2 linked regions of the Rhinolophus ferrumequinum genome follow. The protein of the gene in region 1 purifies or fractionates together with the protein of each later gene. This does not show direct contact. Links are inferred from orthologs where the notes say so. Each region holds a gene or a part of one and is shown on either strand. Other genes may lie near its edges. The genes, in order: L3MBTL1 and ANAPC1.

Region 1 (15,492 bases):
TGGACTACCCCAATGGTAAATTAAAATCTACAGGAACAGAAAGGTGTGGGCTGCTTACAAACAATAGCTTTCTCAGGGCTTCTATTCATCAACATTTCAATGTTGGGCTCTGTTCTTGAGCAGGAGGCTAACTTGGAGAAGACACTGGGGACTATTAACTTGTAGAAGGGAGCTGTGCGTTGAGGAAAGGATTGGACATGTTAACTTGCTCCCAAGGGTACACTGGACCAGCAGAGCAAACTGGCCATATAAGAGGCAGAACCTTCCCCAGATCTCATCAATTTGGGGTGGGGAGGAGGCGGGCCTCTCCATCCCTGAAGGTGTTCAAAGCAAGCAAGCCCACCAAAGGAATAAAGAACACCAACATACTGTTAATGATCAGAAAAATGTCTCAGCAAGTCAAATCGGTGTTAATTGTTCATTCCTGGGTCCCCCAGCTCAGATTCTGCTTGTTTGTCTTAATCACCCTCTCAAAGATGGATGTTATTGAGAAGCCATGTGTTTGTGTAAGTTTCACCACTTTCTTTTAATCTTCTGAATACCTAAAATAAACCCTTGGGAATCCAGAACAAGCACAGTCTGGGTAGAGATGAGAGAAAAAGGAGCGGATGGTGTGTGTATTGATGTGCATAAAGAAACTTTTATTGTTATGGCAACCAGCATCCTCAACTGACGCAATCCTGTTCCCAATAATACGAGAAGGGATTTAAAATTCACATTGCAGCTAGGAAGAGCACATGCAACACACCGGCATAGTAACCAGAATAGTTAAAGTCTGCTTAAATTTAAACCTGATGATCACAACAATTTGGGGATTTTGCCTACAATTAATTAAGAACCCTTTTCTCATCTGAACTTGAAGTCAGGAGCCTAAACCGTAGGCCACATGGACCTTAATGTCCTTTTCTGAAAAATAAGGGATTCGATTAAATCATTGATGTGGGAAAGGGGACTGGGGCTCTGGAATGTACTAAGAGTTGCTCTGTTTCCATCTGCATGCAATACATCATGTAGTCAATAGATGTTTACTGAGCACCCACCCAGCACCCACCTCTGTGCTGGGTTCTAGGGATAAAAGAACTATTTCCTTTCTTCCTTTCTTCCTTCCATCTTGGAACTTGCGATTTCTTGACCTCGTGAATTACACAAATCTCTGTGATATGCGTAAGAGAGAGGTATTTTGGGCTACAGAAACCAGTTAAAGGAGATTGACTAGTTAGATCTTACGGAGGCAGAGAGATCAGCCCAGGAAATTGAAGCATAGAGGAGCAGTGACATGCTCCGGGCAATGCCACAACAGGAACCATTACTGAAAACAACCCAAGAAGTGGGTGATTGTCTTCACAAATGAAGCAATGGAGGATAAAGTGCTGTGCCCCATGTCACACTATCAGCCAATGGCAGTGGGGTCATCCAAACGCAGGCGCGGCTAATGCCACTTTTAACCCAGGCAGGGCCAGGGTCAGAACCCGCGCCGCGCACGGTCTCGGTTTCCCCGGTGGTACAGCGCTTCACCCCTCCTAAGGCCTTTTCGGACGCTCCTTTGGATTCCCTTTTGCAGGTGGGGGAGCAAGCACGGTGGGAAGGCGTTGGACAGCGCAGCGACCCGGCCGGGGTGCATGCGGCAGTGCAGCCTCGTCTTTTGCCACTGACCGTTCAGCCTGGGGGCCCACCAAGCTCCCTTTTCCGGCTCGGTGATCCCCACAACCGCTGCGTGCTGCTGGCTGTGATGCAGGGGGTGGGAGGCAGCAAGAATCTCCACCCGCCTAGCCCGCGCAGCAGTCTGGCCCTAGCGGAGAGGGGACATTAGGCCCACGCGGACGGCACTCGCAGGAAGGCAAGAAGGCTTGGGCGCGGCGAAGCCCGCGGGCGGTGTCCCCCAAACCCGCGCCGAACGCGGTCCGCGCTTCGCGTCCTGCAGGGAGGCGGGCCCGCCCCCCCAGCGCGCGCAGGCGCGTGCAGTGCGGGGCTCCGACCGTAGCTCCGCGCTGGGCGGCCACAGGCTGGCCTCGCAGGTAGGGAATCCGCGGGCCATGGGGTTGGACCCGGGAGTGTGGGGCTGCGGCGCCAACCGGCCCAGCCTCGCACGGTGAGGACTCGGGTCTGCGGCCCGGGTTCGAGGCTCCTTCCGAGCGCCTCCGGCGGGGGGCGCGGGCTGGGGTGGAGGTTCGCAAGAGCGGGAGCGGGAGAGGGTCTGGCGGAGTGCGGAGGGCCGCGTGGGTGCGGGGTTCCAGGGCGACGCGGGCGCGTCTGCGGTGCGACTGCGGGCCGCGATTTGGAAGCAGAGAGGGAGGAGGCTTCGTGTTTAGAGAAATGCAATCAATTAAGAGTTTTTCATTAATGGAAGGAACGGTGTAGTATAGGGCGGGGTTTCGGTTTTCTTAGGAAATGGGTCGTTTGGCAAACTTTCTCTTCCCTTCCGTTCATTTCCGATTTTTATAACGGGAAATTGGATGATGATGATGATGATGATGATGATGATGATGATGATTTTTGCTATAAAGGGAAAGAATAAAAAGAATTCCGCCATTTTGGAGTTTTAAAAAGTAATCGTTCTGCGGGACCTAAGGATCAGTGACCACCCCCGCCCACCGCAGTCTATACTAGTATCGGGAGGACTCGGAAGGCGGAGGCGGGTCGCGACCCTGGAACCCGCTTCCACCCCCTGGGGCGTCCCGGCTGCGTAGGGGGTATCTATCTGCGGCGCTCACTCCCCACCCCCCCACCTAGAGCGAGGGCATTTATTGAGCGTCTGTTGTATACGAGGCCTCGAAGGGGAGAGGGTGGGGGGAACCCTTGGCCGACAGACCGAGAGAAAAAAATAACCGCGGCAGATTCATTCAGTAAATATTTATTGAGCACGTGCTATGTGCCAGACACCGCTCTGGGCTGGGAATCCAATGTTTTAGATCCCTGGAAACAGACTCTCTGAGAGGGAGGTTTGAGTGTAGGTTTATGGGGGTGCCCTCGGAAATATCACCCGTAGAGGACTGAGGACAGCAGGGTGGTTGGGCAGAGGGAGAAATTGAACTGCCGTGGTAGTCTCAACGGAGGCCTCAGCCTGTCCCAAACGAAGCTCTGGAGCTGAGATGGCTTTGCAGAGGTGTCCCAAATTGAGGCAAGGGGGCGGAGCCTTTATACCCGGTATCAACTAGTCCACGGATACCCGCTTCCAGGAGAGGGCACTTGGGCGAGGCAGCTCCCCTGGCTGAGGGCAATTCTGAGAGAAGCTGACAGCTGAGGGCTACCAGTGACAGCCTTCACAGTAGTTGGGATCTCCCGCTGTATCTCCTACCTCCAGCCCCTGAGCTGCACTGAAAGAGGAAAGAGTGCCTATTCTAGCCCCTGCGGCAAGAATGGCTACCCCGTTTATGGATCTCAGTACCATTTGTTTCTTATATCATTTACCACTCTTTACTCCTAGCTCTGATTCATTCATTCAGTGGCTATTTGTGGAGTGTACTTTCTGGATCAGGCTCTTTGCACATCAGGTGCTTTGTTCTGTCTCTGGGGGAGACAGAGCACTTGATGCATATAGCTAGATTGTGATGGAGTGGAGCACAAGAGAGGGAGTGATGAACTTTCCGGGGTGGATTCTGGGAAGGCTTCAAAGAAGAGGTGTCACTTAAGCTGGATCTTGAAGGATGATTAGGAATTTTCCAGAAATATGGGATGTGGAAAGGTTCCAAACAGAAGGAACAGCATGTGCAGAAGCCACCACAGAAGTGGGGTTCTTGTACCTGGCTCAGGCCTGGGAGCCATAGCAGACACATTGTGCTGCTGTGTGGACCTAGTGACAAAACGCTTATGAAAATGCTGTGTGAGCTGCAAATATACAGGGTGGTAGTGGTAAAGGAGGGGTGAATTCAAATCAGAGAGAAAGCAGTTCCAGGCCTCAGAAAAGCTAATGGTCTAGTTGGGGAGAAAGAATGGAAACAGTAGGTGCTGCTAGCTAGGAGTTTCAACACCACGGGTGCATTAGTTCCTCTCCGCTCCTGCACATTCAAGATCCTGTCTTCTAGAATTATTCTTTTTTTTCTAAACATGTTTTATTGTGAAGTGTATCGTACATACAAGAACCTGTATGAAACTTCCATAGCCAGTCTCGACATGGCTTCTTCTTTATATCTAGAATTATTCTTTTTTTCCTGCACTGTCAGTGTCTTCCTCTTTATAGGCTCATTTTCATCAGCTACAAACATGCTGTAACATTTCCTATTTTAAAAAGACAAAACAAACAAAAAGAACCTTTCCTTGAGACCCATCCCTCTCCAAATACCAACCTCCATTTGCATGCTCTCCTTCACATTCCAGCTTCTTGAAAGAATTGTTAGACCCATAGTTTCCAGTTTGTTTTCTCCCATTCTTCTACAGGACCCATCCTCTTTGTCAGTTGCCCCGCTAGAATGTAGACCCTGTTCACTGACAAATCGGCATTGCCTGGAACAGTGCCTGGCACATACTAGGTGCTCAGTAAATGTTGAACTTAATCGATGATTTCTCTTTAGAACCCACTCGGATCAGGTTTTTGTGTACACAGCTCTTCTGAAATGGCTTTCGTCAGAGTTTCTGATGACCTCCTTATTGCTAAAGTGGTCAGCTCTCAGCCCTCATTTGACTTGATCTGTCAATGTCATGTAACACCCTTGAGCAGTCCCACTTTCTGAAAACTTGCCTCACATGTCCTCCAGAAGACCAGACTCTTCTGTGTGCCGTCACACCTCATTGCAAGCTCCTTCTAAGTCTTTTGCTAGATCTTCCATTTCACAACCTATAAGTCTTGGTGAGCTCCAAGGTTCCCACCTTTTTCTTGATTCTCAGTTCTAAGGTTTTCAGTGCCATCTATGCATGACAGTTTTCAAATTTATATCTCCAGCTTTAACCTTATTCCATATTTCTAGAACATAAGCTTCACGAGCACACTTTGTCTTATTTGAGACTATATTTATTCCCAGAGCACAGAATGGTGCTGTCACCTAGTTGACCCTCCAATGTGTGCTGAAGAAAAGACAGCAAGCCTGAACATAAGGGCAGTCGTTTTCATCGTTCTTCCTTGATAGACCTGAAACATGTGACATGTTTTGAAACAGAATGGAATTCTTTCAGGAGTAACCACATTCACTCTTAATGACTGCCAATGTTTTGAATAAAAAGATTGGCTCTATTGAAAAGAATTTAAAATGGTACAACTATGTCAGCTGTGCTAAGCAAAATAATTGGAATTGAAATTCAGCGAATTTTACAATTTTTAAAAAAGGGGAAAACAGACCTTGGTGTGAATGTTTCTTAATTAAGCAGATGACATATCTCACCTTTGCTTACCTGATTATATACTCAATGATATGGAGGATGGACTCTGTATTTTAAGGAGGAAAAGCTGGAAAATAAATGAATGCATGAGAACAGCAGGATGGAGAGACAGCAATGATTGCAAACTGATTTTGCAAGCAAGCAGCTTACATGTTACTGGCCAGAAAAACTACCAAGCTCCCTGGAATTTCCCTGGAATTTCTTTTAAAAGGGAGTGGATTAGTAGTTGTTGGTATCAAATAGTGTGCTGGTATCAAGATTTCACTTATTTTTTTCATTTGATCTTCATCAAAGCCCTTTGAGGTAGATATCATTACCAGGTTCATTTTACACATGAAGAAACAGAGTTCAGAGAGGGTAAGCTGTTTACTTAGAGTCACAGGTATTGAGTGGTGGAGTGGAGATTCATACTCTCTTAACTGTCTTAAGTCTAGGCCCATGTTCTTTCCTTTGAACTGTATGCCAAAAACCTGTATGCTAACACCTTAAAGCAACCAGGTATCAACACAGTGCTTTTTATTAACAAGTTTAAATTACTGAAATCCAACACAAATTGATTGAAGACCTACTGAGTGCCCAACACCATTCTAAGTGCTGGGGAGATAGCAGTGAACAAGACTGATAACGTCTTTGCCCTCATGGAACTTACATTTATATGGGGATGACTGATCAGACACAAATAAAGATCATTGTCGTGCGGGAGATCCTGCTCACAGCACTATGTGTCGTGCGAGGCGGCCTGCGGGGTCTCTAGTCCCACTCCCCACATAAGAATGCAGGATGTGGCTAGGCCAAAAAGGAACACCCACGGAGCCATAGGTAGGGGAGTCATACCACTATAGTCTCACTGGAGGCTGGATTCACACGATGTGCGACCTGCTGTCTGTTTTTCTGCCTGCCAACCGACTGACTCCACCCTCCAATGCAGCTGCGGCAGTTATATCGGTGGCCAATTGGCTAACCGGCCACAGCTGACGGCCATCTACTACCCGAGCCAGCACCCCTCCACGTGAGGCCGAGAGCCTGGAAACTGCTTTCTGGGGCTCTGTCCCCACAATCATCGATTATAATGAAGGATGTGAAGGAAATAAGCACTGTAATAAGCTAAGCAGTAGTAAGAAGGGGTGAGGGGTGTGCTGCTTTAAATTGAGTGATTAGGAAAGACCTTCTGAGGAGGTGACCACTGGGCTAAGGCCTGGAGGATGGGAAGGAGGTAGCCAAGCAGAGAGCTTGGGGAAGAGCATTCCTGGTGGAGGGAACAGCAAGGGCAAACAAAGGCTCTGAGGTGGGAACATGTGTCAAGCAGTAGAAACCAGAGTCTGTCGAGGGTGGCGAACATGGGGAAGAGGGTGGAGGATGAGGTCAGAGAGGAAGATGGGTTATATTCTATAGGGTAAAGCACTTTGATTTTATTCTAAGGGCAGTGAAGAATTTTGGATAGGGAAATTATGTGATCTAGTTGACATTTTTAAAGCTTTCTCTTACTGGAAAATACACTGTAGAGGGGCAGGAGAAGAGGAAGGGAGATGGGTTAGGAGGCAATTTCTGAAGTCCAAGGAGAGCTGATGGTGGTTGGGACAAGCTTGGTGGCAATGAGATGGAGAAAAATGGTCAGACTTTGAGATATGTTTTGGAGGTAGAGGCAACAGGCAATTATGATATGTATAAAGTTGTGCTGTCCAATACATGACTATGGCCACTGTGGTGATTTAAATTAATTCAAATTAAATAAGATTAAAAATTCCATTCCTCAAGTCACACGAACCACATTTCCAGTGCTCAGTAGCCACATGTGGCCAGTGGCTACTGTGTTGGACAGTGTAGGTACAGGACATTTCCATCATCACAGAAATTTCTACTGAACAGTACTAGTAAGGCGTCTAGGACAGTGGCCCACACATTTTGGCAGTTAAGTAATGATGGATATTGAAGTATATTAAATATATTTATTAGGTCTTTTTCCCTCCTATATTTCCCAGTTCAAACACCTCTTTATTAAATGCCAGTATCGCCCTTGCTTTATTAAAGCAAAATCATGCACTGCCTGGGTTCTCATATATTACCTCTTTGCTCTTCAGAATCATGCATTTATTCAACAGATGTTTGAGTGCCCACTGTGCTTGGGGAGGGCGTGGTGGACAGGGTGTGGGAAAGAACACATACCAGTGAGGGAGAACATGGTGCTTGAGGGCTCTGGGTCCCCAGAGGGCGAAGGGAGTGATTCCAGTGGGAATGGAGCCGGGGTTGAGAAAGAGGGAAGTTTGGACTTGGCCTGGGCTATGTCATGAAGACAGCTGGCCAGACAGAACTTTGGCCTGAGACATTCTCCCCAGAGTCAGTTCTGTATGTCAGTTTACAAAGGCACCCTCACACATGCCTACCTTACAAGACTGGGAGAAATGTAGGGCCTGGCCCGAGTCCTCCCCTGAGTGATCTGATTACAGCCAGTAGCCAGAGTTAATGCTAAGCTCCTAATATATCTAGTCCCCTCAGGGCTGAGGCTTTTCTCTGAGGGTGGGCAGCTCCTCCTCAAAGAAGCCCCCTCCCTCCCTGATCACCCTAGAGGCTGTGTTCCACTTGTAGGCCTTTCAGGATGGAGGGGCATGCTGAAATGGAGATGCTGAGGACATTGAAGGGGTCCTCCACAGGGGAGGTCAGCGTGCATCTGGTGGCCAAAGACAGCCCAGGTTCCAGCCCTCACCTGCCCACTGCGGCCTTCATCATTCCAGGTGGGCCAAGCCAGGGCCTGGGGAGGAGGAGCATCCCCATACCTGCCCAAGCAGGTGTGGATCCTGGGGAGGAGATGATATTTTTCACTTGTGTACACACATGCATGGCAGGATTGGGGCAGAGCCACCAGGCTCACCTGTGTTGTGTCCGTGTATCTGTTCGCAGCCACCTCTGCCACCCTTGGCCTGCCCAGCAGTGCCCTGGATGTGTCCTGCTTTCCGCGGGATCCCATCCATGTGGGCACCCCTGAGCGAGTGACCGGTAGCATACCTGTCACGGCCACCGTTCTGCCGCAGTTAAGCGCGGGGCCGGCGGCCAGCTCTAGCGTCAGCACAGTGCGGCTTCTGGAGTGGACGGAGGCCGCGGTCCCGCCTCCTGGGAGCGGCCTGCGGGTCAGTGTCTCTGGGGATTGGCGGGGCCTAGCGAGCCGCAGCTGTGGGGCGGAGCCTGCGGGCCCGGAGGCGGGGCCTGAGACTGAAGGTGGAGGAGGTTGGTCGAGGTGAAGGATTCAGTGGGTGGGGCTTTGAGTGAGGTGCTCTGGGGGCGTGGCTTGGAGTGAGGAACCCTGGGGCCGAGGCCTGCAGGTGTCTGGGGGCGTGGTTTGGGCAGCCAGGGGCGGAGTCTTGAGGGCTGCTGGGGGCGTGGCTTGAATAAAGCGGCGGGAGGGGTCCGGTACGGACTGGAGGTGGGGCAAGGGCCGGTACCCTAGTCGCCGTCCTCAGACCTTCCTGCGCTCCAGTTCCGAATTAGCGAGTATGCGCCACTGAACATGGTGGGAGCAGAGCACCCACCGAGCCCCGAGCTGCGGCAGGAAGGCGTGGCGGAGTACGAAGCTAGCGAGGCCTCCGCGGGAGGTGGCGATGCGAGTACTCAGCAGCCGGGTAGGAGCCCCAGGCCCCGAGCTGGGTCCCTGCGCGGCTGGATCTAGGCCTGAGCTCCCTAAGGAGCCTCGATCCCCGGCAGGACCAAAGGGGGCGTGCCCCGGGTACCTGCACGTGCACCCAAGGGTTGGTCCTGAGGTGGAGAAGGCTGGGGGGCAGGGGCCTGTCCAGTCGAGGAGGCAGAGGAATTGGGACCACGGTGGAGGCAGGGCCTCGGGGTCGTGGGCGCCGACGTGGGCGGAGCCTAGGTGTGGCTGGGACGGGGTGGGTGGCCTGAGGCCCCTTTGGTCCCCACAGGGGATCTCCCCCAAGACCCTCCAGAATATCCCCCTCAGGATCCCCGAGAGGATGATGGCAACTGTCAATGCCAGGCATGTGAGCCTCAGCAAGGCTCTGGTCCAGATCCTGGTTCCTCCAATGATGGCTGCGTCCAGCTGTTCCAGGAGCGGTAAGGGGCAGGGTTTACCACTCTACTTGCTCTGCTTTTGGGTCCCAAAGCTGCATTCCAGTTCCTGGCTTAGGAGAGGGGCTGGGTGGTGCCGGGTGGGTGGGTGGTTCTTTCCTTCAGGCTGCCTCTCCCTCAGGTCAGTCATAGTGGAGAATGCCTCTGGCCAGAACTCGTGCACCAGCACTTCTGAGCTCCTCAAACCCATGAAGAAGAGGAAGTACAGGGAATACCAGAGCCCCTCAGAGGAGGAGTCAGAGCCAGACACCGTGGTAGGAAGAGGGCTGTGGGGAGGAAAGGGGGGGGCTAGATGCTATCCCTCAATTCCTACTATTCCCTCCATCAATTCAGGTCTTGGGGTGGGGCCAGAGAAGACAATGACTCAATCATCATTTTTTTTGGGGAGTCTCATCCTTAGTCAGGTGTTTGTGTCCTGTTTCCCCACCTGGGAAGGAGGGGAATTGTAGTCAGGTTGTGTCGCTTATGTGAGTCTGTGTCCAAGTGGTAGGGGCTGGTCTGCTGGAGCTGTGTTCCTGCCGGGGGCCTAGAAGAAATTCCACCTGTTTGGGGCAAAACACCTGTGGCCAGAGAGCCAGACAGCGGCCAGGAATAGAGACTGGGGCTTCTCACCAACCCAGGAGGACAGGAATCTGGAATCAGGCTTCCCTTCCACAGGAGAAGCAAGAAGGAAAGGATCCAGAGGGACAACCCACTGCTCACACCCCAGAAAGTGAGGAGTGGAGCAGGAGCCAGCCTGGTATGGTGGCCTATGTGTACATATTCATGTGACGTGTGTGTACACATTTGGAGGTGTGAGGCTGGGAGAGTGGCTGTCGGTTGTGATGGTGTGTTGTGTACATATAAATGATCATGAGTTAGAATGTGAGAGAGACAGAGAATGAGAGAAAGACAATGGTTCTGGTTTATGCATTAGTGTCTATGTGTTCTTGGGGGTTTTATCATGTCTTTGTTTATCCTCTCTTCAGTTGTGAGTAGGCTTTATTGCCAGGCTAAGTATTCAAAGACTCGAATAGCTTTAATGGCATCACATGATACTGCTTCCCTTTGGTGGTGTGAGCAAGTCTGTACGGCTCACTGGCCGGACCTTGCTGTTTGGGCCCCCACTCTGACCTTTGGTTCTAAGAAAAATGGAACAAGGCTCGTCAAAATGAGCTCAGGCCCTTGGGCCTTCGCCATTACCATCTCCACTTTCCGTGTCAGCCTGTTTGTCTCCTGCCCACAGTGTCAGGGGAGAAGAAGGAAGGCTGGTCCTGGGAGTCATACCTGGAGGAGCAGAAGGCCATCACTGCCCCGGTCAGCCTCTTCCAGGACGTGAGTGGGACAATTTCCACCTAGGAAGTGCTTGTATTCCCAGTTGAGGGACTCGCCACCAAACTCAGGCCTTCTGGTGTTTTCTGTGTTTGATACCCCTTAAAGGACTGTCAGAATGGAAAAGGGAGAGATCGGTTAGGGACCCAGAGTAGAAAAGGGCCCACCCTAAGGGGCTTCCAGGGTGGGAAGAAATACAGAGGTGGAACCCATCACCAGGCCTGCAGACTTTTGAATTCTGGCACCTTCTACTCAATGGTGTATGCTGATCTTGCAATGATTGGGTGAGAGGGAGACGTTCAGTCCAGCCCTGACTCAGCTCACAATTTTCAAGGGGTCTGGGAGCTCTTTATCCCCCTCGGGATCCCTGCACTTAGACCCCCAGTTAAGTTATCCCTTTGTAGTACCAGGCGGGTGAGGCCTAAAGGCCGCTCCTTCACCCCAAGCTCACCAGGTAAGGATAAGACTGGATGGAAGCTGGGTCCTGTCCAATCTGTGCGTTGACAGTACCAGGCGGTCACTCAGAACAAGAATGGCTTCAGACTGGGCATGAAGTTGGAAGGCATCGACCCTCAGCACCCATCCATGTACTTCATCCTCACCGTGGCCGAGGTGAGCTGAGGTTCGCACCACTGTGTTGGTGATGTTTCTCAGGATAGATCGAGCGATGGAGCCCGCCAGGGGCATGGAGGGCCTGGACTCAGAGGAGGGAGACACTGCCCCGCACGCAGAGAGCACACAATCTAATAGGGGATTAAGGTGGCACACACAGAAAGCCAGAAAAATGAACAAAATCCAGACGAAGCGTGAGGGGTGGTGGTGGCACTGAGTGAGTGTGTGCTTCAGTGCTGGGGTGACCTGAGGAGGTCACGAGGGCAGGACGTTAGCATGAGTCCAACAAGGCCCTTGTCCTCTAGGAGCTCCTAGTTGTGTGGGAATCAGCCAAATAAACATAGCAGTGACATGCCACAGGTGTGGGACAGGCATGCACAGAGAGACATGGCGGGGGCAGGAGAAGCTTCCCAGAGGATGGGCCTCCATTGTTGAGTCTTGAGAGAGGAGTTGGGAATGAGTAGGGTGTTCCAGGCAGAACCAGCAAAATGAGCAGAGGCTCTGGGGCTGGGAACAGGCCACCTGTCCAAGGAGCTGCCATGAATTAGCTCAGTGGGGCCAGTGCAGTGTGTGAGTGGGGAGCCGCAGGCGAGGGCATCGGGGCTCTGGACAGGTCTGAGCTCTGCTCGGTGCCCTCGGGGTTCTGGCTGGGTCTCAGAACAGCAGGAGGGTGTCATAGACTGTATCTGTTGTATACCCAGAACGAGTACATGAACTGTCCTCGTTACAGAATAGGGGAGTGTGGGACAAGGTTCAGCATGGGGGTAAACCTGGGAACGAAGAGAGGTGGGGAACCTGCTAGCATCAGCCCCAGGCGGGGCAGGAGAGGTGAGGGAAAGGGAGTGGGTGTCTGCTGGCATCGGACTCCATGTGATTCCCCTTCGTGGGCCCAGGTGTGTGGCTACCGCCTACGTCTGCACTTTGACGGGTATTCCGAGTGCCACGACTTCTGGATCAATGCCAACTCCCCTGACATTCACCCCGCTGGCTGGTTCGAGAAGACTGGACACAAGCTGCAGCCCCCCAAAGGTAAGGCCTAGGTGGGTTGGTCACAGCGAGGCAGTGGCCCACAGACCCATCCCTTCTTTCCACTGGTCTCCCCTTTCCCCAATGCACACCCAGCCTCTCTTCATTACTTCCTGTTATGACTCGGCCCCAGGGCTTCTGTTTTTCCCTTGCCCTTTGAGTGTCCACCCGGGTCATGTCCTGGTTCGGCAATGGGTCCCTGGGCAGGTTTCTGAGGGATGTGGGGTCCTCAGGCCTGCCCGATCTGCTGCTTCAGTGTGGGGTGCCCTCGCCGCGGCCCAGCCTCTGTCTGCATGGCACTCTGTTCATCCACACCCACCCCGCCCCCTGAGGGGCCTAGGTTACAAGGAAGAGGAGTTCAGCTGGAGCCAGTACCTGCGCAGCACAAGAGCTCAGGCTGCCCCCAAGCACCTATTTGTGAACCAGAGCCACGTGAGTCCCCAGAGCCAGAGTGGACACCCGCCCCAGGGAGAGCCACTGCAGCCCGCCCAGGTCTCTGACTCATCAGAGGAGAGTTCGTCTACTGGTGCTCTCAACCCTCTTCCGGTCTCATCCCAAATGGGAGGGGCACACGGGGCAGGCCAAGGCCAGAGCGGGAAGCCGGCCGTAGGTTCTCCCCCAGTTCCCTCTACAGAAATCCTCTCCTCCATGTGTCCCTTCGGAGTATCTGGCCCCCCAGCTCAGCCTGGGCTCTCAGATGTCTTTGTTCTTGTTTCTTGCTTTGGTTTGCTCTGCAGTTCTTGGTGTGAGGTCCAAGCCCCTATCTATTCTGGGAGCTGCTTTTTCCTTCCTTTTGCCCGACATCGAGGCTCTGCCGTTTAGTCCCAGCAGCTCAACCCGTCACCTTTTTCCCTGTTAAAGGCAGCTGGCAGCTTTCTCCAGCAGTTAAAGTATCTCCTAATCTCAACCAAGCAAAAGGTCTGAGAGATATGGGGAACCCCCATTAAAAATGTCACTGTTGAAAGTTTAGGGTCCCTTGGGTCAGGGACTCCACCGTGCTGTTCAGGCAGTTACTCCCAACGCCCCCTCCCCCAATCCAGCCCCAGAGACTGTCCTCGCAGTTTTCCAAGTGATTGGTGTGGTTCTACCCACTATTGTGACAGGGGATGCAGACTTTTAAGTCAAACTTTAAATCCGGGCCCCACCATTGACTAGCACTGTGGTCAGGGCAAGTTATTTAACTTTTTAAATGGGGATGATGACAGCCGGCTTGTAGGGTGGGGGAGGCTGCGCTTAGCCTGGCACACGCTGGGTGAAGGTGTAGCCTCCTGCCATTCACTCATCCTCCTGCAGAGAGAGGCTTCCTCTGAGTGCACCTTGGGGGCCAGACGTTCCTGAGTGACGCGGGGCTGGGGTTTATGATTCTGCCTAATTCTCCCCTGACCAGCCCCCAACCCCCAGGATGACCCCGAGAGAACCCCCGCCTTATCCTTGCCAGTGCGCTCTGGGCTAGCACTAGCCTGCCTGGCTCTGGCCATGGCAGCCCCTCTTCTTGCCCCCAGAGTCCCCCACCCCTGGGCTTCCAGGTGGGCATGAAGCTGGAGGCTGTCGACCGCATGAACCCGTCCCTCGTCTGCGTGGCCAGTGTGACCGACGTGGTGGACAGTCGTTTCCTGGTGCACTTTGACAACTGGGACGATACTTATGACTACTGGTAGTGGGGGGGCCCAGACTCGGCCTTGGGGGTGAGAGGGTGGCGGGGGGTGGAAGGCAAGACTTTCAAACCTTAGGCACCATGTGGCCCCGACCCAGCCCTGACATTCATTTTTGTTGAATGTTCTGTGGATTTGATCTGTATCAGAAACAACTCAATATTAGAGGTTCGTCTAAAAATACCAAGGTCAAGAGGAGCCCACCCCTGCGATTCATGGTTTTCCCTTCGATATGCGGGGGTGCTGTTAGCGTTTTTAGTTAATGCTGCAGTTTTCTGACTTTCTCATCAGCCCACTAACTTTCCCTAAGAAGTAGAATGAGGAAGGACCTGATACCATACTGTCATAGAACGGCAGGCTCAGGGCCTCCACGTTTCACTCGGGACAGTGAAATATCCTTGGATTTCAGGTGTGATCCCAGCAGTCCCTACATCCACCCGGTGGGCTGGTGCCAGAAGCAAGGAAAGCCCCTCACCCCTCCACAAGGTGACTCTGCCGCCTCAGCAAACGCCCTTTCCCAGGCCAGGCTCCACACCCCTCTCCCTGATCTCGTACCTGTCTGCGACATGAGAACTCTTTGATTTTAGGAGAGTCTTATCAAACCCTGACTATGTGGAGGTTGAAGGGAAGACAGGTAGATGACCTCCCCTCCCACCCCACCCCCCAAGCAAGGGCGCAGGAGTCCAGAATGAAGGCAGTATATCCTTTCCTCTTGGACTATTACGCTGGCCCACATACAGCAAGGGCTCAGATGGGGCTGGGCTGGACCTAGAGCAACAGGACCAAAGAGCGGGATGGGAGCAGTGTCCCCAGACAACCCTGTGAACTGTGAGGTGGTGATGTGCTTGCTTCTGACTGGCACCCCTCTGCCTCGGGGACTCCCTGCGAGGAGCTGGCTGTGGTGATGCAGGGGACCTGGTCCTCCACGACCTCTGTCTCTTCCACGCTCCTGGTCCTGCCTGGGGGCCCAGAGTTCCTCCAGTATACCTGGGTGCCGACACACTGTTCTCCTCCTCTCCTCCAGACTACCCAGACCCAGATAGCTTCTGTTGGGAGAAATACCTGGAACAGACGGGGGCTGCTGCTGTGCCCGCCTGGGCCTTCAAGGTGGTGAGTGGGCTCTCCCTGCCCCCAGAGCTGAGTTCAGGAAGGCATGGAGCCCTGGCCTCCCTTTTTGGCAGGTCCCAATTTTCCAGGCACAGCAGTTGGATTCCCTTCTTGGGGCCTCGGCGCTGCTGAGCTGGGCCTTGGCCTGAAGGCCGCTGTCCCCCTGCAGCGACCCCCGCACAGCTTTCTGGTCAACATGAAGCTGGAGGCCGTGGACCGTAGGAACCCAGCTCTGATTCGTGTGGCCAGCGTAGAGGACGTGGAGAACCATCGGATAAAGGTGGCTCTGGGACCCCTGTGCTAGGGGAATCGACAGGCAGATTGGACAGGAAATCTGTAGGCTGGTTATAGAGGTCAAGGGTATGGCATGAGCCAGATATTAGGGAGGATGCACGTTGTG
Region 2 (15,199 bases), on another chromosome or scaffold:
TCTTTCTGTTTCTATACAGGTCTATCATGTTTTGTTATTCGTTTCACGGCATAGTCTTACAACAGTATATTGCCTTGCTCTCTGATGACTATTTTCCATTTATTTTCTACTTTTACTGTATTTGACCTCATCTATCCATTCTTTAGTCTTCTTGCGATTTCTTTTCCTTTTTTTAAAAACGTTTTTCTTATCTTTAAAATCTTGATCTAATATAGTTGAAGAAAAAAATATATTTTAATGTGATATAAAAAGTCACAACTTCCTAAATCATGTTTCAATTCTTAAAGTTTTTCATTGTTTGTATTAGTTTTACTACACTCGTTTCTTTTACCTTATCTGTAAATTTTATCTTTACTTCTTATAGTCTTCTACCTTCCTTTATTTACCTTACTTTATTTTTTCTCTATTTCTTCCCTTTCTTCTCTCTCTCTCTCTCTCTCTCTCTCTCTCTCTCCCCTCCCCTCCCCCCACCCTGCAACCTCCCTGTGTGGCTCGAGGTGTGCAGTGTAATTCCCAGGCCTGTAAATAAAACCCACTGCCCCCCACACACAAAGTTTCCCAAAGGTTATTACTGAGGAATGCTTTGCAATCATCATAAGAACCACAAGGACTGGTCTAGCCACAACATTTGTTACTGATAGGCTGAGACCAGCAAAAAACATTAGGTAAGCAACTTGATTGAACTAGGTGAAAATCATTACACATAAACATTCTGCCACTCGTTCCCCTGCCTGCCCCCCACCCCCACCTCGCCGGACTTCCATTTTTGTGCTTGTATGTTTACAAGCCTGCCTCTGGGCATCTCAAATTTTGCAGCTACCTGCCACTATCAAGTGCTTTTCAACTTTCCTTGTTTTTTCAATATTCTTGCTTTCCATGTAGGGTATCTCAGAGGACTTGTCTCTGGTTTAGTTCTATCATTATTATCTCCCTAATTTCTTATCAAACAAGCATTAAAGATATAGAACAATTAGATCCAGATATTTATCCTCATTCTGTGGAGATGCACACATATCCAGAAATATGTATGGTGTTTCTTGTGCTACCCTTAAAAAGAATATTTAGTATTGCCTTGTTTTGATAAACTTTTGACCAGGAGTTTCCATAGAGAGATTTTGTATCCAAGCATGCTCTCCATGAGGACAAAGTCCAAGAAAATGCAAATGCAGTAAATGAGATCATTTTAAGAACCATTTCCACTTGTGCTGTCAGTCCTTCAATGCTCTGCTCTCAGAATAAAGTTTGAAATCCTTAAAATGAATTATTTGACTGTTAGCCATTCTGGTGGGTAAGAAGACATATCTCACTGTGGTCTTGAAAATGTTGAGCACATTTCCTGTGTTTATTTTTCCATTTGCATATCATCTTTCATAAAATGTTCAAGTCCATGGTCCACTTCTTGTGTTGTTTGTAGGAATTCAGTACATGTGATTCAGCCTTTGTCAGGTACATGCAGTATTTTCTCCCAGACTGTGGACAGTCTCCTGTTTTATGCAGTGACCTTCACTCTGTTCTTAGCTCTCATTGCAATGTGGGTTTGCTCCTAACATGACAGCACAGCCATTGTCTTTTCTTGTATAATATCATGAAACACAGGCAGAGTATAACACGCTCCATACGTGTCAGTGTGAATTTGATATGTGATGTTAACATTGTGGTTGGGATTTTAAGATTGAGCAGCAGAATTGTTGTGGACAAGTGTTAGATGCTTCCCAATACGTACACCCAGATTTTTGTGTGAAGAACTGCTTATTCCTCATTGTGTAGAAGCAATGTGACCCATTTATTTCCAGACCTAAGTTCTATTTTTTTTTAATTAAAATCTATTGGAGGTGACAATGGTCAACAAAAGAGACGTAAGTTTTTTTTGGCTTAACCTGATTCCTTTCTATCTCGTGCAGTGAACAGGTCAAGAAGTGTGTGACTCAGTTTGTCAAAGGAGGAGAATAAACTCCGTGATTTGTGCAGAACGTATCACAACTTACAGGGGCTGACATGCACTTGCTTCTGCTAAGCCACGTATGTTTGGGTTTGATTACTTGTGACCAAAACACCCAACTACACAGTGATTTTGTAATTTGTGGTAGAGTTTATAGAGATGTCCCTGACTCTATCTTTATATCAAAAGTCAACAGTGACACTGACATTATGCTATCTATTCAGTCCCCGCTTTCTCTGTTTGTCCAGTGTTTTAGTCTCACCATCTATCTATACACTATTCTACCCATTCATTCATCTGCCCAGTCCTGTGATCTCTCCATTTTGTTCTTATGTCCACTTCCTCTCTCCTTATCTCTCTTTTCTCAATTCATTCATCAACTACTTTCATCTTTTTTGATTGATTCTCTCAGTTCATACATCTATGCATTATCTCATACATGTCTTCAACACAACAACAAATACTTTTTTGCATATGTACATTTTAAAATTCAACAAGGATGGTTGAAAACAAAAACAAAACAAAAACTATAGGGCAATTCATTAAAATACATGCAAAAATCCTAAGTGCAAATTTACTCACAGCAGTATTACAAAGGAATAGCACACTGAGAACAATTAAAGTTCTACCCAGTAATAAACATTCAACATTAATGGAATTCATACAATTAACAAGGGGAAAAGATGCACTTCAACAGAAGTCAAGAAATAGCTTCACCAAATCTTGATAAAATTCTGAGCAATTTAGAAACTTTTGAAGAAAATATTTTTTAATTTGATATAGGGCACGAATTGAAAATGTACCACAGACATGATATTTGCTGTGACAACATCAATAGCTTTCCCACTGAAAACAGGAGCAATAGAAGAATGTCCACTGTCTACACTAAAACCACGCCTTAGATTAGCAACATAAACAGAAAAGGAAATACTCCTATGAGGGCTAGAGAATGAAAAAGATACATGTCTTAAAGATCACATGTCTTAAAAAGTGCAGAGAATCAACCCACACAAATAATAGGAATCAAGAAGTTAGGTCAAGATTGATCCTTTTCATATACAACAGAAATAACCAGTTTGAAAACGTGGCAGAGAAAACGATTTCCCTTTACTGTAGCACCAAATTCTATAAACTAGCCAGAGCTAAGAGTGACCAGATAATGTATTAGCCATGTGTAGTATATATTGTATTAAACACATATATTTTTTATTATGTATATCAATCATATTACATGTGCGCCTGGATCACATTAATAAAGTGATGAGTAAAGGACAAATGGAAAGATAGAGCAGATCTGTGAGTGGGAAAATTCACAATTGCAAATAACATTCGTTTTCCTCCAAATGAATCTATAAATTCAACACATGGCCGGCCCAAGTTTGAAGTATTTGTCATAGCATTTCCACCACCGATTCTAATGAAAAAGTCTGCAAAAACAGCCTCAAGAATATTTCAAAAGGCAGCAATGAGGTGAGAACTGTGCGACCGGGTATGAAAACGTGAAAAAGTCTAGCACACTGAGAGTATAGCATTTCTTCAAGAGGAAAAAAAATCAGCGACATATACCAGGGGGTTCAGAAACAGAGTGATTTATATGTGGGAACTTAGAAAATCAAAAGGTGACACTTCAGGAAGGCAGCGTCACGGGGCCATAAAACGTGCCTCGGTTTTTGTCCCTCCACCGCCAGTGACAATTCAGGAAGAAGAGGAACAGTTCGACATGTGTCCATGGAGCAGAGCGCGTCCGCGGGGGCTGTGGGATGAAGCACGTTCGCCGGGCCGGGAGGAGCCTCGCCCACCCCTGCGCTGGTAAGAGGCAGACAGACCTGGGTCCCTGGGCCCTGGAACCGGGCCCTGCGGAGGCCCTGAGTCAGCCTTAGCCCCGCCCCGCCGCGGTCCGGGAGCCCCTGGAAAACAATGTCTTAGACAGTCACGCACGGAACAGAGACTTCCTGGGAGGGAGCCCAGGTTCCCAGCGGAAAAGTTCCAGTTTGAGCACTAATAGTAATACGACAAGTTTGGCTTCCCCAGCCGCTCGGGACTGCACCCCAGGGGCTGGCTTCTCTCTTGGCCCATCCAGAGGACTGACTTGTGAAAGGCATGAGGGAGGCGGGAAGAGGCAGGGATTGCTGCACGTAGGACTCTGGGAGGACACGAAAGGGATGCGGATCCTATTAGCTGCCTTGCCCGGGGACCCCCGGTGGGTGCGCGGCACCGCTAGTGTTCCGCCTGCCTCGCCCACCCCCTCCACCCCGCGGCCAGCGCCCTCTGTGCCCTCCACCCGCCGCGGCAAGATCGAGCTCAGGCCGAGGGCTCCGAGCTCCCGGGGAAAGCTGGCCGTTGTCTCCCGGCCAGGGAGAGACCGCAAACTTGAGCTTTAGCGCCACCTTTGGGAGAACAACCTACATTTTAGAGGTAAAACTATAAAATTTTAAGAAAACAAAGGAGTACATATCACAAACGATCGTGGACTTGGCGATAGATTCTTAGGTACCACCTCTAGAGCACACGCAATGACAGACACAAGGTAAGTGGGAATTCATAAATATGCCCAAATCGTGTCTCCGAGGGCACTATCAGGTGGGAAAGGACAACCCATGCAATGGGAGGAAATATTAGCAAAGCAGAGATCCGTGAAAGGTCTAGTACTTATACAGATAAAGAGCTCTTGCAACGTCTGATGGTTAGTGTTATGTGTCAGTTTGACTGGGCTATAGTACCCAGTTATCTGACCAAACACATCTGCAATCAATTGACTTTGGAGGTTGTTACTCTTGAAAATGGGGGTGGGTCTGTACTCAGCTGAAATCCTTAAGAGGAAAAATTGAGGTTTCTTGATGAAGAAGAAATTATGCCTCATATCACAGTACAAAATCTTGCTGAGCTTTTAGTCTGCTGGTCTACCCTACAGACTTTAGGCTTGCCGAGCCCCATAAGGACAAGAATCATTTCATGAAATAAATCTCTTTATATGCGTTTCTCTGTGTATGTACATGTGCATACATACATATATGTATAAACACACACGTATCTTCATGCTAGAAATATACATGTTCTTTCTCTCTGGAGAAGTCTGATGGATACAGGTTTTGGTAAACAGGATGGTTCTAGAGGAATAGAACCTAAAAGATGTGTTTTCTCAAGCAATCCTGGATCTTCTGGAATTGGTTCTCGAATCTGATTAAATATAAAGGCACAAATGACCGTATTGCCAGTGTTGAAGAAGGCATTGACAGTCCATAGTACAAGGTGGTAATAGAGATATACAAAGGATCACCACTGGATGGATATTCCTAATCAAATATGTATTTTTAAAAAGGTTCTAGGTGACTATGAATTTGATATTTTAGATCATGTTTTACAAACTAACAAATGTGGCAAAATTAGGTGATTGCTCCTACTTGCACTTGATTGAATAAGAAAAAGGTGAGCTCAAGGTGTTCAATTTCCAACGCAAGCGCCCCTCAAATGCCGAGAAATTTCTATATCTTCCCTGAAACTCTTGAGCACTAATATAACTTTAGCGCTGAGATGTTTGAAAACCTAACTCAGTCTCATCCTGCAAGTGGGTGAATTACAACCAAAATTGAATGTCTGTCCACATGGCAGTGAAAGTGATAGCGATGATTTAGAAGAAATAGGGTCCTAAAAGTTGGAATGGGGACACATGGGTGGTTCCTGATTAAGCGGGGACATTGAACTCCAAGACTGTGCAGGCTTCTTTGTGCAGAAGAAGCCCTCCCACTCCTGCCTGAGGAGCTTGCCTCTGCTTCTCCTAAATCCACAAGGATCACCCCCGAGGTACTTGCCTTGCAAGGCTCTATTACCCTGCTCAGGACCTGCGCCCACAGCCCTTTTTGCTTCCAGACTTGTTAGCAGACTCAGCTTCCAGCAGGTTCCAAGAGTGCGGTATAGACTGTGACCCACGAGGACTTCAGCTACACTCCAAACGAGCTGCACCCTTTCCCCAGTTCACACAGACAGAAATCTAGGAAAACTGTGGAGAAATGAGATGTTAAGGGTTTGGGATGACAGTGGAAGGAACATGCAGTTGGATTAGGTGCAACATACTGCTTGGGGCCCATTATGCAGACATGGTCTTCAATGTCATATCTCAAGGGGGTACAAAGTCCTCTAACAGCTTGTTTGCTGGATTGGTTTTGACATGGACCAAAAGGCACAGCACACAAAATGAAACTCAACTGCCTTGGTACAGTGAAGAAGGTGTCGGAATAATCACTCTACAGCAGCTCAGAGAACACAGGTAAACAATCTGACAACAGAAGGAAAACAGTACAAGAACAAATCGAGTTCAACAAACAGACAGAAAACATAAAAAACGTGAAAAAAAGAACCAAGCAGATTTCAGAGCTGAAGAATGTAGAAAAGCCAGATTTCAGTGATATGCCACCCTTGCTACAAATGTGCATCTCTTCGGAGTGACTGTCAGTTAACGCTGGGCCACTGGGTGCCCAGAAATGTGGAGTTGTCCCCCCTCGGCTGCATCACATATACAAGTATTGCAGGATCGGCATTCAGGAGCTTCCCAGTCCTGCAGTGGAAACCCTTTGGCATTCTTGCCTTCCCCCTGGCTCTGATCTGTATCGGGGGCCATCCACCCCATCTGTGCTCATGTTATGGCGGCCCTCGCACACTAACACAGTCTGTTGGGACACAGGGAAGAGGTTCCTGACAGCACTGTGGAAATGGCAGCAGAATTGAACCATGTCAAGGTCCAACAGCAGTAAAAGGCTGATTCGCTGAGAAAAATGACCTCCTTTATGGACTATTAAGGAGATGAATAAGGCCACAGCTCCTGACCTGGCCCACCTACCACACGGTTCGCTGTGCTCTGTGAGAGGACACGTTGCAGAGAAATGTATCCAATACCTTAATCACACACCATTTTTTGTACAAACCAGTCTACCAAATGTGATGATGCATAAGGCTTGGAGAAGGTCTGCAAAGACAGTTCAGCTGACTGTATCACAGGATACCTAGGGAGGTAAACAGTCAAAATTAGCAAAATGTAAGGACAGCATAAATGTTTTCCTCTACGATTCCAACAAACAGGTGAAAAGTGTATTTCTACCCCACCAGGCAGCTGGTGGGAGGAGAGAGGAACCAAGACCATGGCCCTGGCAGATTCAGCATCTGGCGAGGGCTCACTTTCTGGCTCATTGACGGCTGTCTCTTTTGCTGTGTCCCCACTTGGTGGAAGCGCTCCAGGGAGTCCTTTTCTTTATAAGAGCCCTAAGCCCATTCATGAGGGCTCAACCCTCAGGACCTAAGCGCCTCCTGAGTGTTCCACCTCCAAGCACCATCTTACAGGGCTTTAGGTTTCAACATAAGAATCTCGGGGGACACAGCATTCATTCCTCAGCAGGCTCCTTCCTCTGGGAGGGAAGCCTTCTGAGAAGAGGCCTATGAGCTAACCTCTGAAGGTTGACGTTGCTAATGAAGGGACAAGAATGAACACACACACCAAGGCCTCAGAGTGCAAGGTGTGTTTGGGGACTTCCAAGAGACCACTTTAGTGCAGACAAGAAGTTTCAGCCAATTTTACATTTCTGGATAAAGAATTTGAACTTTATTCCTTAGGCAACAGGATGCCTATCAATACTTTTAACCCAGAGATACTGCGCAAAAGAAGATTAGAACTCAAGGAAATTTTCTAGTTTCCTTAAGTGTGATATTGTGCAGTTAAATCCAGACAGGGAGGGCTGGGTAGAGCTGGGCTTCTTAACCCAGGTCTAGGAATCATGGGGATGGGGGGGCAGTAAGGGGGGCAGGGGTGTCTGGGAAGCTCAGAAATCGCAGGCAACGTTTTCGTGAAGGCATCCATATCTTTCATAGACTTTTCAAAGGGTTCAGGCCCCTCATGGTTAAAGAGAGAAAATCAGCAGGTCTTCTCTTCTCCAAGCTTGGAGAGGCAGGTACCTCCCATTGGGGAGTCAGTATAACTAGCAGGAAAGTCCCCTAGTTCAGAGTTAGGAGGCAGTTCAGACTCGTACTGACACGACTGGAGAAGATGTGAACGCCAGGAGGGTCTTGTCACAATAGTCCTGCTTCCAGGCTGGGCCGCTGCCCTAAGAAGGAGGTACCCTGGCAGGTAGGCCCCAGCATCCTTCCTGATACTCACTGCACAAAGGACCGCAGCTTCGCGCCTCCTGGTGAGGCTCCGCCCCTGAGGCCCCGCCCCGCTAGGTCCTGCTCCTGCTTGGCCCGGCGCGAAGCACGACGGGAAGCCAAGATGGCCGCCTCCATTTGAACTCTCCAGAGCTTCTCGCCTCACGCCCGCCTTTCCTCAGGTGCTGCTCACTCTTCCTCCAGAGTAGGGAAGGAGGGGGGAATGAGAAGCTGCAGCAGCCGAGGAGTCCCGGTGACCGACTCTGCCGCTGCCCTCGGGGAGCAGCCGGGGCTCGCCGCGCCTGACGCGTCCTGAGTTACTCAGGTAAGGGCCCGGCCGGCGGCGACAGGTCAGCGCGTGTCCCCTGACCCCCGCACCTGTCCCGAGGCCGACGGTGCGGGACCGGAAGGGAGGACCCAGCGCCCGGGGGCAGCCCAGCTTGCGGGCTGGGCTCTCCGGCGCGCCTCCCCGGGCTGCACGCGGGGTCCGCGTGCGGCCTCAGCTCCCAGATGGGCCCCTTCCCCTGCGACGGGGCTTTCTGAGGCCCAGGTTCTCAGCGTGTTGTTTTCACTGACCCCTGAAGACCTGAAGAGGCGGAGGAAGCTCTGCCTTTTTGCGGAGACTCAACTCGGGGTGCCTTCGCAGGGCCTTTCGGTGTCTTCTTGAACCAGCTTCGCGGTCGCTTCTGGGAGGGTAGCTTGGTTTCTAGTGAGCACTGATGATGTCTTGATTCTTAGCACGTCAGTTTAATATAGTGCTTTTATACGTGTGGCTCCTTACGTTGCCCCCATAAGTAAACACATACAGGTTTGAGGTACAGTGAAAGTATTAAACATGTTGCCTTAATCAGCACAAGATACTGTACTGTAAAAATAGTTCTATGATTAATAATTTTGTAATTTTCACTCAAAATTTTAAGATGTTGGTCATCCTGTTGACTAGAATATAATAAGAAGACCAGCTGAATTTTATTGTTTTCTTGTAAGTCTTCCGAGGCACTGTCTCAGTCATATTCCAAGTATAAGTGTTCTCAGTACTGACTTTTAGCAGGAGGAGAAAAGTGTCATGATTGTCATGTACAGTTGTCTGAGGAAGAAAGTTTAATTAACAGCAAAATAAATGCAACGCTTGCAGAGCCGCATGGGGACTCCAGGGGCCTTGACATATTGCAGCAAAGAGCCTGAAAGACCCCAGGGGAGAAACTAAGTTAAATTCAACTCTTTTTAGTGTGAATGCATTTCAAATACTCATTTGTGCTGACATTAGTGTTTGTTTTGATTTCTGTGTTTGAGGATTGCAGCTTAAATGTGATGCCACAAAACCCGTTTTTCACATAGGTGTTGTCTCGCAGACAAAACTAACATCCACCTCCTACATCACATTGTACAGTGTCAGAATTTGACTGGCTGCCACTTCCTGTTTGTAGAAATGTTTTGAAAGTAGAGGGGCTGGTTTCCACCCACAGCTCATCCACACCCTAGTAGTGATAAAGTGAACTGTACTAGATTATGTTAACTAGAAGATAGAACTCTTAAATTTGCAAGCAAGCATGACTGTTTCATGGACAGAGCTTCCTTAGGTTCGACCAAAAATTGGAATTGATTATGGTTATATGTTTAGTTGGATCGGGGTGTCAGAATTACTGATGACATGTGATAGCTTATTAAAGCAGTGGTTTAACTTTTGATGAATTAGAAGAAATACGTGAGTTCTGTTTGCTTGTTTGTTTCATTTCAATATGCCAGTGATCCTTTATATGCTTTTCAAATGAGATTCCAGCATCTGAACAGAAATGATGTTAAATGTCGAGAGCTGGGAAGTCATCGGACTATGAAGTACAACTTGTCTAAATACCTCAATGTGAATTATAGAAAAATTAGTGTATAGTGGTAGGAAACATAGGATAGGTATTGTGGGATGTAAGTGCTAGTCTCATCCCAATAGTTTCCTACAGTGGTAACTGTTGATCTGTTTGCAACAAAAAAGGAACTGTAATGTTAATTATGGAATGACAGTGTAACTGTAAAATGATAACTGCAATTACCTGAAAAAGTCAGATCTGGAATGTCCATTGACACAATGATCACTTGTACATCTACAGTGTGATAGAATTATGTGACACTTACCTAAAAATTAAGGACTAGTAAACTTTCATGATATTTTTTATTTTGTTTGACTCTAACATCTGACCAGAATGTGTTTCAATTCATACAGAAATAATGTTGATATTTGGAACCCATGTCGAACTTGTATGAAGACAGGGCAACAATGATTGCAGCCGGGGACTTGCAGGAATTTGCTCCTTTCGGTCGAGACCACTGCAGGCACCACCCTAACGCTCTGAACCTTCAGCTTCGCCAGCTGCAGCCAGCCTCTGAGTTCCGGTCTTCGGATGGTGCTGCTGGCTTGGTGGGATCCCTTCAGGAGGTTACAATCCATGAGAAACACAAGGTTCCGTTAAGTTTCTCACTCTGTTTTTGAAATGCAGAGTAATGTGTCCACTTGTAATTTAAGGTGCCCAGAGGCAAGTGCGAAATGAGTATGAAGCTACTTCTCGGGTAGAGGCTAAGATTTGGTCATTTTTATCAAGGCTAAAAATAATGAGTTTATCGTGAGAATCAGTCTGATTATGGTCCATTTTCAACCTCTTCACTTGGAATGTGGAGATCAGATTTCATGTTATTTGCTGATTAGATAGTAGAGTTAGGAATGGTCCCTGCTGCAAAAATCTTGTGTGTGTAGAGGAGAAAAGAAAAGCCACTGAAATAGCTACAGTAGTAAGTACTTCTTAGGTAGGTGCATAGGATGTCATTGTGTGTGTCAGAAAATCAGCCTTTCTCATCTTACTCCATTTTCATATCCCTTTTGGGATACAAAAATCTCAGGGAGGGGAAGGGTATGCAATTAGCAATCTATACCTTTCTCTCTCGCTTGTTTGGACCGTTGGGACCAGGGAAGGAAGGTGAATTGTCCGTGCACTTGGGAAGCAGGGAAGTCTGCATGGCGCATAGGCTCCCCTGGTGTTCCCACATGTGCCTCACTGGCCCTCCCCATTACCCCCCAGATACTTACTGTGTCTTTATAGTCTCCTAAGCTCTTGGGTTTCATTTTTCAATATACAGGTAAGGTGTGATTTTTGTTTGTTTATATTTTAGGCAGCATAATGTAATACTCTAATATAAAACACATACTATAGACACTTCGTGTGTCAGTTCTTGCTCATGAAATCCTTTTATGACAGATAACCCACACATCCACACACCCCACCCCCCTCTGTCCATCTGTGGCACCACACCTTCTAAGAGTTGGGCTGAGAGTGAGTCTTACTCCTCAGGCAAAGACAGAGTGGGATGGCTGTTTGATTTAATTAACAAATCTTGCTTCATACTACTGAAACAGAAAAATGAAAAACCCATGCTTGAACATGTCTAACAACTGTGTTAATTTTGAAGGAAAGCTGGCAGTTAAGGAAAGGTGTAAACGAAATTGGAGAAGAAGTGGATTATGATGAGGAACTCTACGTGGCTGGAAATATGGTGATTTGGAGCAAAGGAAGTAAAAGCCAGGCACTGGCTGTTTATAAAGCGTTTACAGTGGACAGTCCTGTTCAACAGGTGAGTTCATTTGAATTTTGCATTTGATTGACTATTTAATACTTTAAAAAAAGCTTTAGTCATAAAATTTAAGAGAAATGATGAAAAAAGCATAATGATCTCAGCAGCTGGGTTTCCAGTTGAAAATGTAGTGAAGATAATGGTAGGAAAAGAAAATTTTCAGTATCACTTTTTTTACACGATTCCTTGTCAATTTGGTGATAATCTTTAAATACTCTCCTTGTGAAGTAATTCAATTTAATATTGTCAGTAAAAACTTGTAAGACATTAAAGGTACAAGAATAATGTAACAATGATGATAATTGACTGCAAAGCACTGAATAAATAAAATTCACGTTCGTAGTAGTGCTTAGAGAGAAACGGAAACAAACTAATTTGCCATCGTTGCACTTGGCTGTTACACCTAACTCTAGTCTAAAAATTGATAATTTGAGGGAAAGAATTAAGCGCTTGCCCTGCTTTTTAAGGAAGGCATGCAGTTCATCTCCATTATTTATAGAAGAATGCCAGCTAATAAATGTAGAAGGAATGGTAGAATTAGAAAAATCACTGTTTTATACCCACCAATGTCATCGTTGATTGAGACAAGGATTGGAAATGGATACAAATGCCACTGGGTGGAAGGCTGTTAGCATGGCCCCAGGGTGTCACCCTGTGGATTGCTTGTTGAGGAAAGGGAAGAAATGTGTATCTACTGTGGAGCTATGTGTGGGTCTCCTCCTCCACCATGTGGTGGGGTTTACCATCCCTAAGAGGGGGACAGAGGAATCTGTGTACCTACAGGTGTAATGTAGCATGAAGACATGATGGCAACTACTCAGTTTTCTTCCCCCGAATGTTTGACCTTGTTATGAAGACCTAACTTCCAGTTATAGGAAACATGGGGACTGGAGGATTGATTTGTAAAACATCATGAGATAAGGCAAGGGTTGGAGGTACAGAAGAAACAACAGCAGCCAGAAGTTGATAATTATTGAAGCCGGGTAACGGGGATTCAGTAGGTTACTCTGTTTACTTTGTATATATTTGAAATTTTCTATAATAAAAAACTTAAAAAAACACCAAGAGGAAACAATTAGAGAAATCCAGAGTATGGGACAGTCCACATTGTGGTCTCTTGAAGGAGTCAGTCATGGAGGAAAAAATGGTGGGGACTGTTCTAGATTTGGAAGAGACTAAAGGAACATCACCAAATGTACCTTCTTGTTTTTTGTACCTTGTTGAATGAACTTTGATTGAATCCTGGTTCTAGAAAATTGGCTAAAAGAGACATTTTTGGGAAAATTTGAAAAAGTTGCAAATGGACTGGATATTAGGTGATATTAGAAAAATTATTTTCTCAGACGGCCGACGTTTTTGTGGTTATAGGAGAATGTCTTTGTTTCTGGGAAATGCGTGATGAAGTCTGTAGGGGTGAAGTTTCATGATGTGTGCAATTTTCAGATCGTTAGCCCCCTGCCCCCCCCCAATCCCGCCTGTACACAAGTGCACACATAGAAGCACACATGGCAAAATGTTAATAACTTAGATTGAAGAGACACAGATGTTCATTGAACTATTTCAACTTTCTTTCTGAAAAGTTTTAGAATTCAAAAGTTGGGGGGAAATGAATACATTTATAGTAGTTGAATTAATTCTTAGGCTATGACGAGGTTTTAAGGCCTTTTGACTAGGGTTAAGTTCCTTACTGGTAAACACTGAAATCTTGGTCCCTGGACACTACTTATTAGTTTTTTCCCCCACTGACTATTTCCTAATGAACATCATACTCTTCTAACAATATTTTGGGAATTATCTAAGATTTGAGGTTATATGTAAAATCATTTCTGTCTGGGGTTGTTGAAGCCAGTGATGCTTTTGATAATTTTCTGTTATGGACGCATATAATTTGTGTAGATATGATGATGTCCAGACAGTCGTTTGCTCCTGTGTTTCCGTCTTCATTTCTCCAAGGCACGACTGCCTCTTTCCTAGGTTCCCTGGAGGTGCAGTGATGTGTATTGTCTCCTTTCTGTTGTCTCCTTTATCTTAAGTCCACTGTGGGAAAGAGTTTGGCGGTTCCTGAAAACGTTAAAGCTAGGATCCCCCTGTGATCAGCCATTCCCCGTGCAGGTATACACACAAAAGCATTGAAAGCAGGGACTCAAACAGCAGCATTCACAGCAGCATTATTCACAGTAGCCGCAAGGTGGCGACAACCCAGGTGTCTGTGGACAGATGAACGGATAAACAATACGGGGGACATGCCTGCAAAGGAGTATCTTTCAAAGGAGTCCCTTAGAAGTGGGATTGTAAGCTTTGTAAATTCAGTTCTTTTGCTCTGGAAAACATGATTATGTAGACTTCCTGCTAGTAAATAATAATTTTATATTTTGGTTAGGTATTATGTGACTGAGATTTAGTTTACGCCTTCATTTATTCTGCAAGTGTTTAGTGTCACTGTCTCAGACAGTGTGCTGGGTGCTGGGGCGACAAAGACGAATCTACAGTTTGTGCCATGGAAGACCTCATGGTGTAGAAAGGTGAGCAAATAGACAGATACACTGAAACTGTATTCAGATAAATGGAAGTGCCGTGTCATAGCTGTGTGTCCACAGTGTGCTGAGAGCCAGGGGGCGGAGCTCTAAGGGAGGACTTCTCAAAGAAGATGCTGTTTGAATTGGAAGCTGGTAAAGAGGGCCTTCTAGGCAGAGGGAATCACAGCAAAAAGAATTATGGAAAAGCATGGCTCAGTCTAACTTCCAAATGGCTGCACACAGGGTGTGGGTGTGGAGAGGAGCTCGCAGGTGCTGGGTGGGACCAAAGTGAAGAGGCTTATATGCACCTGGGAACTCGGATTAGGAACTCAGAAAGAACCTAGCAAGGACCTTCAAATGGAAAGTGCATCGTCAGTTGTGTGTTCTGAGAAGATATTGCTTTGGCGGCAATAGGTAGCATTGGCTGTGGATTGGAGAGACTGTTGTCTGGGATACTGTTTTGTGACAGTTCAGGTGAAAGAGATCGGCGCCCGGAATAACGGGAAGACAGAGGTGAGAGACAGAGCTGAGGGACCTGTGCATGGAGCTAATGATCTCTGAGTCGTGGGGTAAAGGGGCGTGTGCAAATGCTACGTGGTTTCAGAGATGGGAGGATGGGACTTCATAAAAGGAAGCTGAGACGGTGACAGCTTAGACTCTGGACATTTCAGATCAGAGTGAAGCTCTGATATAGGTTTTTCATTTGCTGAAATGCCGTTAAAAACTCCTACAACTCAACAACAACCAAGACAACCCAATTAAAAAGCAGGCGGAGGACTTGAGAGGACATTTCTCTAAAGCAGATGTGCAGATGGCCAGTGAGCTCGTAAGAGGTGCTCAGCCTCGTTACTCATTAGGCAGATGCAAATCCAAACTCGGTGAGACACCACTTCTCACCCACAGGGACGCCTGGTATTAAACAACTGAGGAAAATCACACGTGTTGGTGAGGAAGGTGGAAAGTTGGAACCCTGTGCATTGCTGGAGGCAACGTAAAAAGT

The links.
Region 2: the proteins of L3MBTL1 (region 1) and ANAPC1 purify together in Homo sapiens (affinity purification with mass spectrometry; 4 studies listed by BioGRID and IntAct, counting the BioPlex papers as one, with this or other methods). This does not show direct contact. The link is inferred for Rhinolophus ferrumequinum from reciprocal best matches to the Homo sapiens genes L3MBTL1 and ANAPC1.

Annotation. Positions count from the first base shown.
Region 1 is NC_046306.1:13,772,160-13,787,651, reverse strand, and holds the start of L3MBTL1 (lethal(3)malignant brain tumor-like protein 1), read left to right. Parts: upstream 1-7,903; coding exon 7,904-8,039; intron 8,040-8,205; coding exon 8,206-8,432; intron 8,433-8,779; coding exon 8,780-8,921; intron 8,922-9,218; coding exon 9,219-9,369; intron 9,370-9,505; coding exon 9,506-9,638; intron 9,639-10,041; coding exon 10,042-10,123; intron 10,124-10,609; coding exon 10,610-10,698; intron 10,699-11,202; coding exon 11,203-11,307; intron 11,308-12,200; coding exon 12,201-12,336; intron 12,337-12,673; coding exon 12,674-12,765; intron 12,766-13,835; coding exon 13,836-13,987; intron 13,988-14,394; coding exon 14,395-14,471; intron 14,472-15,009; coding exon 15,010-15,095; intron 15,096-15,261; coding exon 15,262-15,372; intron 15,373-15,492. UniProt on the Homo sapiens protein: Polycomb group (PcG) protein that specifically recognizes and binds mono- and dimethyllysine residues on target proteins, thereby acting as a 'reader' of a network of post-translational modifications.
Region 2 is NW_022680356.1:575,474-590,672, forward strand, and holds the start of ANAPC1 (anaphase-promoting complex subunit 1), read left to right. Parts: upstream 1-8,181; 5' UTR 8,182-8,393; intron 8,394-10,283; 5' UTR 10,284-10,307; coding exon 10,308-10,520; intron 10,521-11,521; coding exon 11,522-11,683; intron 11,684-15,199. UniProt on the Homo sapiens protein: Component of the anaphase promoting complex/cyclosome (APC/C), a cell cycle-regulated E3 ubiquitin ligase that controls progression through mitosis and the G1 phase of the cell cycle.